Macaca fascicularis: one gene and its partner. The protein of the gene in region 2 interacts with the protein of the main gene of each other region in a pairwise test. Links are inferred from orthologs where the notes say so. Each region holds a gene or a part of one and is shown on either strand. Other genes may lie near its edges.

Evidence for each region. The genes of interacting proteins can lie anywhere in the genome.
Region 1: the proteins of PPP1CC (region 2) and PPP1R3C interact in binary tests that used the Homo sapiens proteins (3 or more experiments, as listed by UniProt). The link is inferred for Macaca fascicularis from reciprocal best matches to the Homo sapiens genes PPP1CC and PPP1R3C.

Annotation. Positions count from the first base shown.
Region 1 is NC_088383.1:100,435,583-100,439,581, forward strand, and holds the start of PPP1R3C (protein phosphatase 1 regulatory subunit 3C), read right to left. Parts: upstream 2,834-3,999; 5' UTR 2,733-2,833; coding exon 2,719-2,732; intron 608-2,718; coding exon 1-607.
Region 2 is NC_088385.1:117,610,159-117,613,720, forward strand, and holds part of PPP1CC (serine/threonine-protein phosphatase PP1-gamma catalytic subunit), read right to left. Parts: intron 3,201-3,562; coding exon 2,970-3,200; intron 1-2,969. UniProt on the Homo sapiens protein: Protein phosphatase that associates with over 200 regulatory proteins to form highly specific holoenzymes which dephosphorylate hundreds of biological targets.

The DNA of each region.
Region 1 (3,999 bases), on a different chromosome or scaffold from region 2:
CACATTTTTCATATAGACACAGTCCACATCAGTGTAGCTTTTCCAAGAATCGAAAGTGATACGGATCTGAACTTTCTTCTCAAAACTCACATTTTTGACTTTCACAGTCCCTGTCACTGTTCGCTCTTGCAACGAGCAGTTCTCCAGACAGACAAAGTTCTTCTGAAAGTGACTCCGGAAACTTAAGTAATCGGTTGAAGGCTGAGGGAAATCTAAAATCAAGTTTTTCTCCTCGTGGCGTTTTAAGGCAGAGGAGATATCATTAAGATCCAAGAGATCAAACTGGAGATCCCACGCTGGTTCTTCTGGGAGGTCAGAGAAGACATGGATGGCGGTGAGAGAGAGGCCCTTGGAGTCAGCAAACACAACGCGCTTCTTGGCTTGGTTGTGCGAGCACTTCCAGTCATTCTGTGATTTGGCTTCCTGTTTTATGTTGAGACATGGTTTCAGAGGCTTTAATTTATTCACAAAATGTCTTCGTTGAAAGTCATCGTAAGGGCCCAGGAAACTCTTCACAGGTGGTGAATGAGCCAAGCAAAGCCTCATGGCCACATCCACGGGCATGACCGAACTTGTCAAAGGACGTGGATCTAAAACCTGGATCATTCTGGAATGCAAAGGGAAGAGGGATTATCACCTGGATCGGAAGTGCTCTTTCCCAGTGCCAAATACATATGTACTATTTTTGTGCTGACTGAATTTTAGCCAGTGCAGTAGATATCAGGCAGGTGCTATCATATATAGTAAAAGAGAACAGTATTAACTGATCAGATCTTCTTTCTATGTCTACCTCTACCCTTGGCTGGCTAAAGGCTAAGTGTTAACTGCTTAAAACACTTAGAGGGTGATGGGGGTCTCAGTCTCCCCATCTGAGAAATAAAAGGGTTCGATTTGATTATCTCCCAGGCAGCCTTGAGAACTGTGTGCTCTGTTCTGGACCAGTGGTCCTCAAACCTGTCTGGTCACTATGCCTGGGGAATTCATTTTCTTTCTTTCTTTTCTTCCCTCCTTCCCTGCTTCCTTTCCTTCCTTTCTTCCTTTCCTTCCTTCCTTTCTTTTCTCTTCCTCTCGTTCTCTCTCTCTCTTTCTTCTTTTTTCTTTCTTTCCAATTCCTGGGACTCAGAACCACTGAGGCAGAACTTCTGGGGCTAGGGCCAAGGGATGGATATGCTCTTAAAGCTTCCCAGGTGATTCTAATGACCAGAGAGGTTCAGAAGCCACAGTTCCAGACCCTCTGCTCCCTCTGGCTACTTTGGCTTATTTTGCTGCTAAATTGATTGACACTTCTCTGGTAAGGTAATTCACTTGAAAAACAAAAAAAAACAAAAATAACATGCAACAGTTTTGAGAGTGAGAAGGCTAGAGAAGAAGTCAAAGAATTCTCTTTGTACTTTGATTGTCATGCTTTTCCTCATTTTTCACAAATAACCACTGAAATACAAGTCAATAATTCATATGTACTTACAAACTGTGTAACTGATAATTCATCTAAAGAGATGCCCATGACAAGTCCACATTTAAGTGGAAAACCTGATTACCTGAAAGTTGGCGTGTTTTAAAATATACATTATATGTATGCAAGCTTATAAATATTGAAAAACTCTGTAAGAAATACACCTTTCCTAATAATGTAATAATTATTATCTCTGGGTGATAGGACTATAGATTATCTATTTTCATTTTTGTTCCTTTTTTGGCATTTTCTAATAGACATTTATAAGTAGAAAGACAATAAAGCTATTTAAAGTTTTAAACATGACTATGCTCAGCAATATTAAACCAAGAAGCATCCATAAAGAAGACTTTTCTCTGGCCTTTAGCCCTCATTATATATTTCCAAGCTTATGGTATTAGGATTTTTTTCCCTATCTTAGCCTTACAAGTAAGAGGTGTGTGTATACTGTACACGACATTTCTCAGTCTGGCTTTAGTAACTCTCCTCACAGCAGCTCTAAATATGTATCCAAGTGGTCATTATCACAAAAATGGGTAATAACACTCGCAGAATTTACTGTATTAGCTCTGGGGTTTTTCTGGGAGACCTGCAAACTTAGAACAAACAAATGAAAGCTAAAGCTATATTTGTGGGTCTAATAATAGTTAATAGGCAGGATTTTTAGAGAAGTCTTCTGCTAAGCTATGTCTGGAGAAGCTATTTAAAGTAGTTTTATGGCAGTTTTTTTATTTTATTTTATTTTTACTTTTTGCATTTATAGAAAGACAGTTTTACTTTGGGTGATTTCCTTGGAACTTTAAGTCCTGGACAAGAGTTAAAAGTAATTGTTTGCTCAAACTCTTGAGATTGTGCTATGGCAAACTGTGATAAGAAGGACGAATGAATGCAAACGTCGTCCTGTAATTTTTTTCCTCCAAGCTAAACCACCTAACCAGCAATGTCAGAGTGCTGTTCTCACCACTTCAGCTGCCTGAGTCCTTGCGACATTTGTGCAGGACCAAAAGAACAGCCGCATCCATGAGAAAATCAGAACTCAAGCTGATTCACGTTAAGATAACTTCTGCTTTAAGATGCTGATTGCTAAAATAGGCTCTGCTTAAGAAATAGAGTCAAATTTCTACACCTCCAAGCCCTCTCGGTTGCCAGATTCAACTAAGCAGTCAGTTCCCTTATCCTCATGACAGAACTGAAACGCCCCCCCAACTTCCCCACAGCTGTGCGTTCCCCTGTGTTCCTACCGCGCAGAGGTGCAGCGAACCTACCTGGTGCAGCTCATTAGGCAGACAGGCGGCGGACCGTGAAAGCCAGCACCCACTGCCTGCACAAATTCGAACCACAGCTCCCTGCCTTCCCCCGCGGCGGTCGCTGGGAGAGATTGAGGGCCTGGCGCCTAGAGGCCGCTTATCTGCTCCGAAGCACGTGACCCGATTCCTGGGACCAATCGCCGGGCCTCGGGCCCCATGGCGCGACCAACCAGCACCCAGATGGGGCGAGAGCCCTCGCCCCGGGAATATGATCGCCCCGGGGCCGGACGTGCAGAGCGCGAGCTGGGCATCCCGGGGAGGTTCTGGGACTCCGCGGCCAGCTGGACGCAGCCGCGTAACGGGAACCCTGGGCGAGGGGCCGGGCAGGCACGTACCGCATGCAACGGGCGCCGGCCAAGAGAGAGCGCAGCCAGCCTCGCCCAGGCGGGGCGCCAGTGCCTCAGGCTTGGGGCGGCTGTTACTTGGGAATAGCTTTGTGGGTCAGTGCAGTTGAATCTCCACACAGATGTGGCTCAATCCGAATGTGTATCGCATTTGAAATGTTTATGTTGTTCATTGCCCGGTGTATCCGCATTTCTCCCTCATCTTAGCCTGCGCGATCCCAAACTGGCTTCATGCTTTTCTGTTAGTTATGGGTTCACAGATGCACCACACAGTAGACAGCTGCCGGGAATTACCAACTTATCTAACAAATGTTAGGAAAGCATACGAGCCCCATAAAACAGCGAGGTGGCATTTAATTAAAAGATACTTTGTATTTCTGTCTATTCTTCAATTTTCTCCCCTGCGGGGAACACTAAAGCCGGAAGAGAAATGACCCTTTTCACACATACAGCCGTATGTGTGAAAGAAGAAAAAAAATCACGCTGAGTATCACTGGGAAAGGCACTTCATGCTGAGGTTTTATTTTTGAAATGAAAATCTAACTAATGGCAGGTCTTCTAGCCCCTTTGGCTCAACCAAAACTAGCTGGAAGGTCTTTGAATTGACACTTACTAGCTACACGAATCTAGGCAAGTTCTAACCTCAGTTTCCTCATATGTAAAACGGAGATAGTAACGTTCTGAGGATGAAGTAAGATGGTGCCAATGAACAGACTCAGCACGATGCCCAGCTCCTGTGTTCAACCCGGGCTACTTCCTAAGTTTCTACTTGATCTCTCAGCTAGAGTTTTTACTCTATCACCTCAAGGCACCTGGTGCCTGAGCTAAAATATTGAGAATAACTGCTGCTTGTTGAGCCTTTACTCTGCCAAACACTGTGTGCTATCAGTTCAAT
Region 2 (3,562 bases):
GCTACCATGCCCGGCCTTTGATTCTTTAGTTATGCCACAAACTCCAGTTTCTTCTCTTGCCGATTTCTGCTGGCCTCTCCATGAAAAATCAGTTTGCTTCCTCCTTTTGCCTCTCAGCACTTGAAGCGTGGGGCTGTCTCTTTCTCTTCTCTCTTCATATCCTCCCTAAGGCCACCTCAAACCACTAGGAACATCTGGGTCCTAAAAGGTTTAACCAGGGAAATCGTCTAGCTTCCAAATCCTAAGATTCTGAGCCATAACCTGTAATGCAGTTTCCCATTACTGTACATCAGACAGCTCCGATAGCAGAAATGGATCAACAAACACTCCTGTTTTACCCAACAACATATACCTCAGCCTTTTCATCACATTTGCAAAATTTAAACAAACAAACAAAAAAGAAATGGTAGTATAAAGTACTTATGTACCTGGAAAACAGGCAGTGGTTTTAAAATTGTCCCATGAAAATCAACATTTGAATACAACTTTTCATTTTAATAAAATTAATATATATAATATATATACTAAATGTCTGCAAGCCTTCAACCAGAAGCCACCTATGTCAAGGGCACTTTTATGCCCACAAGTAGACTGGATGGCAAATTGTATCTGCCTGATGGGAGAGAGGATGCTTGATCTATAAACTGTGTTGATGATCAAACAGGAGTCGAAACTGATACCAACCGACACTGATCTTCTAAGTCATTTTAAAGGCCTCTGCATTGAGTAGAAACTGAAACTGATGCAGCTAGTATCATTACGTTAGGATAGAAGTCACAACAATGAGGTCAAATGGATTTGAATTCATCAGTGCAAACATGAAAAGTATTTACTGGGCTAACAGTTATGTAAAAGGAACCCTTTCTTAACTCAAGAGTAACACTTGGAATAAGTATCCAAAACACAATGTTGCCTGGGTGTGGTGGCCCATGCCTGTAATGCCAGCACTTAGGGAGGCTGAGGTGAAAGGATTGCTTGAGCCCAGAAATTACAGGTTGTAGTAAGCTATGATCCTACCTCTGCACTCCAGCTTAAGGCTCTGTCTCAAAAACAAAAAACAACAACAAAAAAAACCCACCACATCTGCCTTGTATTTCACTACCTAAGGAGTAGTAACTGGCTTACTGGTACTTCTTTGACACAGAATCCCTGTTAATATCGAATATCTTTCCTGTACAGGTTCAATGGTATCAGTCAGTCCAGAACCCACAGAATTTTTGTCCCTGATCATTCCTGCCACCTCATCTTACCAGCTGGATCTCAAGGACACAGACCAAGCAAACATCCAGTAGTGGGAAAGGGTGGTAGTAGAAGGGCTCAGTCTGTGAATATAATCTTTCTAGGATGCACTTCTAACAAATGTGCTAGCTCACTGCATCTATGTGAACTGAGATGGAAAAACACACATCTGGAGACTCTAAGTTAGGATGTGGTCTAGGGGAGGGCCACAGGGACAACACTTTGCTGATCTCCCTATAATCATATTAGCAAATGCCAACTACCTGAAGTTCCTTAACCACCCCACCCCTTCACTCCAAACCTGAAACCCCTCCTGGCAGAAATAAGCACAAAAGGAAGGTGAAGGTAAAGATTCAAAACCTTTTCTGACGTAAAACCCTTTATCAAACTGATTATTTTCAAAGTTTTTTTTTTTTGATACGGAGTCTCACTCTGCCACCCAGGCTGGAGTACAGTGGTGTGATCTCGACTCACTGAACCCGACTCCCGGGTTCAAGCGATTCTCCTGCCTCAGTCTCCCAAGTAGCTGGGACTACAGGCATCTGACACCACGCCTGGCTAATTTTTGTATTTTTAGTAGAGACAGGGTTTCGTCATGTTGGCCAGGATGGTCTCGATCTCTTGACCTCATGATCCACCTGCCGTGGCCTCCCAAAGTGTTGGGATTACAGGCGTGAGCCACTGCGCCCAGCCTATTTGCAAAGCTTTAAGAACTGTGTTTTGTCAATAGTCAAATCAAAGTGCACCTTTAAATAAACAATCCAAAATGAGTCACAAAATGCGTAAAATACTGTAAAAATAATCTTTGTTCAGCACATTTTAGTTTTAGGAAAGTTATTGCCATTCTTCCTGGGTGCGGTTATGCCAGAGGAGAAAAACCATAATAATTTCAAAAACTAATTATTTACACATTGCCAAGATTCCATTTGCATGCAATGTTCTCTAGCAGACAAAAAGTAGATTAGTGGTTGCCTGGGGGCTACGGTGAGATGGTCGCGTTAACTATAAATTTACTACAAATCACTGAATTGTATACTTTCAACAGATTAATTTTATGGAATGAAATTACATAATAAAGTTGCTTAAAACTATTTAGAATGGTTCTCAGATTTCTACCAAGAATTAAGTTATCTGTGAATACAACAATTTACATCTTAAAGAAACCACTACCATGATCATTATTTCCTAATCTGATCATCACATCATAAAAGAATCCAAGACCTTATTTTATTATAGCGGCAGTGTTCTTTTTCTACCCAAGAGAGAAAAAACTGGCTGGGCGCCATGGCTCACACGAGTAATCCCAGGACTTTTGAGTGGCCTAGGTGGGCAGATTCCTTGAGTCCACGAGTTTCAGATCAGCTTGGGCAACAAGGTGAAACCCCATCTCTTCAAAAAAATACATGAATTAGCTGAGCGTGGTGATGCATGTCTGCAGTCCTAGCTACCTGGGAGGCTGAGGCAGGAGGATCGCTTGAGCCTGGGAGGCAGAGGTTACAATGAGGTTAAGATGGTGCTACTGCACTCCAGCCTGGGCTGTTAACAGAGTGAGACTCTGTTCCCCCACCTCCCCTAAAAAGCTAAGTTAAAAACAAGTTGATGAAATAGAAAACATGAGAGATGATACCACTGCATCTAAACTCTCACAATTCCTAACAGAAGTACGTGATAATTGTTTATGATAAATATCTTAATTTCAATAACTTCCTGAGATATAGAAAAGTACTTACATTCATCATAAAATCCATAAATTCTGTTGATGCTGGCACATTCATGGTTCCCTCTGAGAAGAAAAAAATTCTCAGGATATTTGATTTTGTAGGCCAGTAAGAGGCAGATCGTCTCCAATGACTGCTTTCCCCTGTCCACATAGTCCCCAAGAAACAGGTAGTTGCTTTCTGGCGGGAAACCACCGTACTCAAAAAGTCGCAGCAAATCATAGTATTGCCCATGGATGTCACCTAGAAGCAAGAATTTTGTTACACAGTGTTCCCATACTTACAGCTCAATCCACTAACAAAGCTTTAGAAAGAAATTCTTTAAAAATTCATTGTACAATGGCATTGACCTCTAGTAATGAGAGTTTAATTGGACAGCCAACACTAAGTAATTTCCAAACTGGCATCATATTTAGTTCAATTGAACTTAATAAAATTTTTAAGTATATGTGTATGTCCAGAACCTCACACAAAATTCAACTAATTAAGAATTTATTCTGTGGAAAGGGTTATTATGTCCAGGCATGCCTTCTTGCCAAGTAACATGGTATTCCTTTCAGGATGACTGATCAATATCAGATCCCTGATAGCTCAGTCTCTAGGTA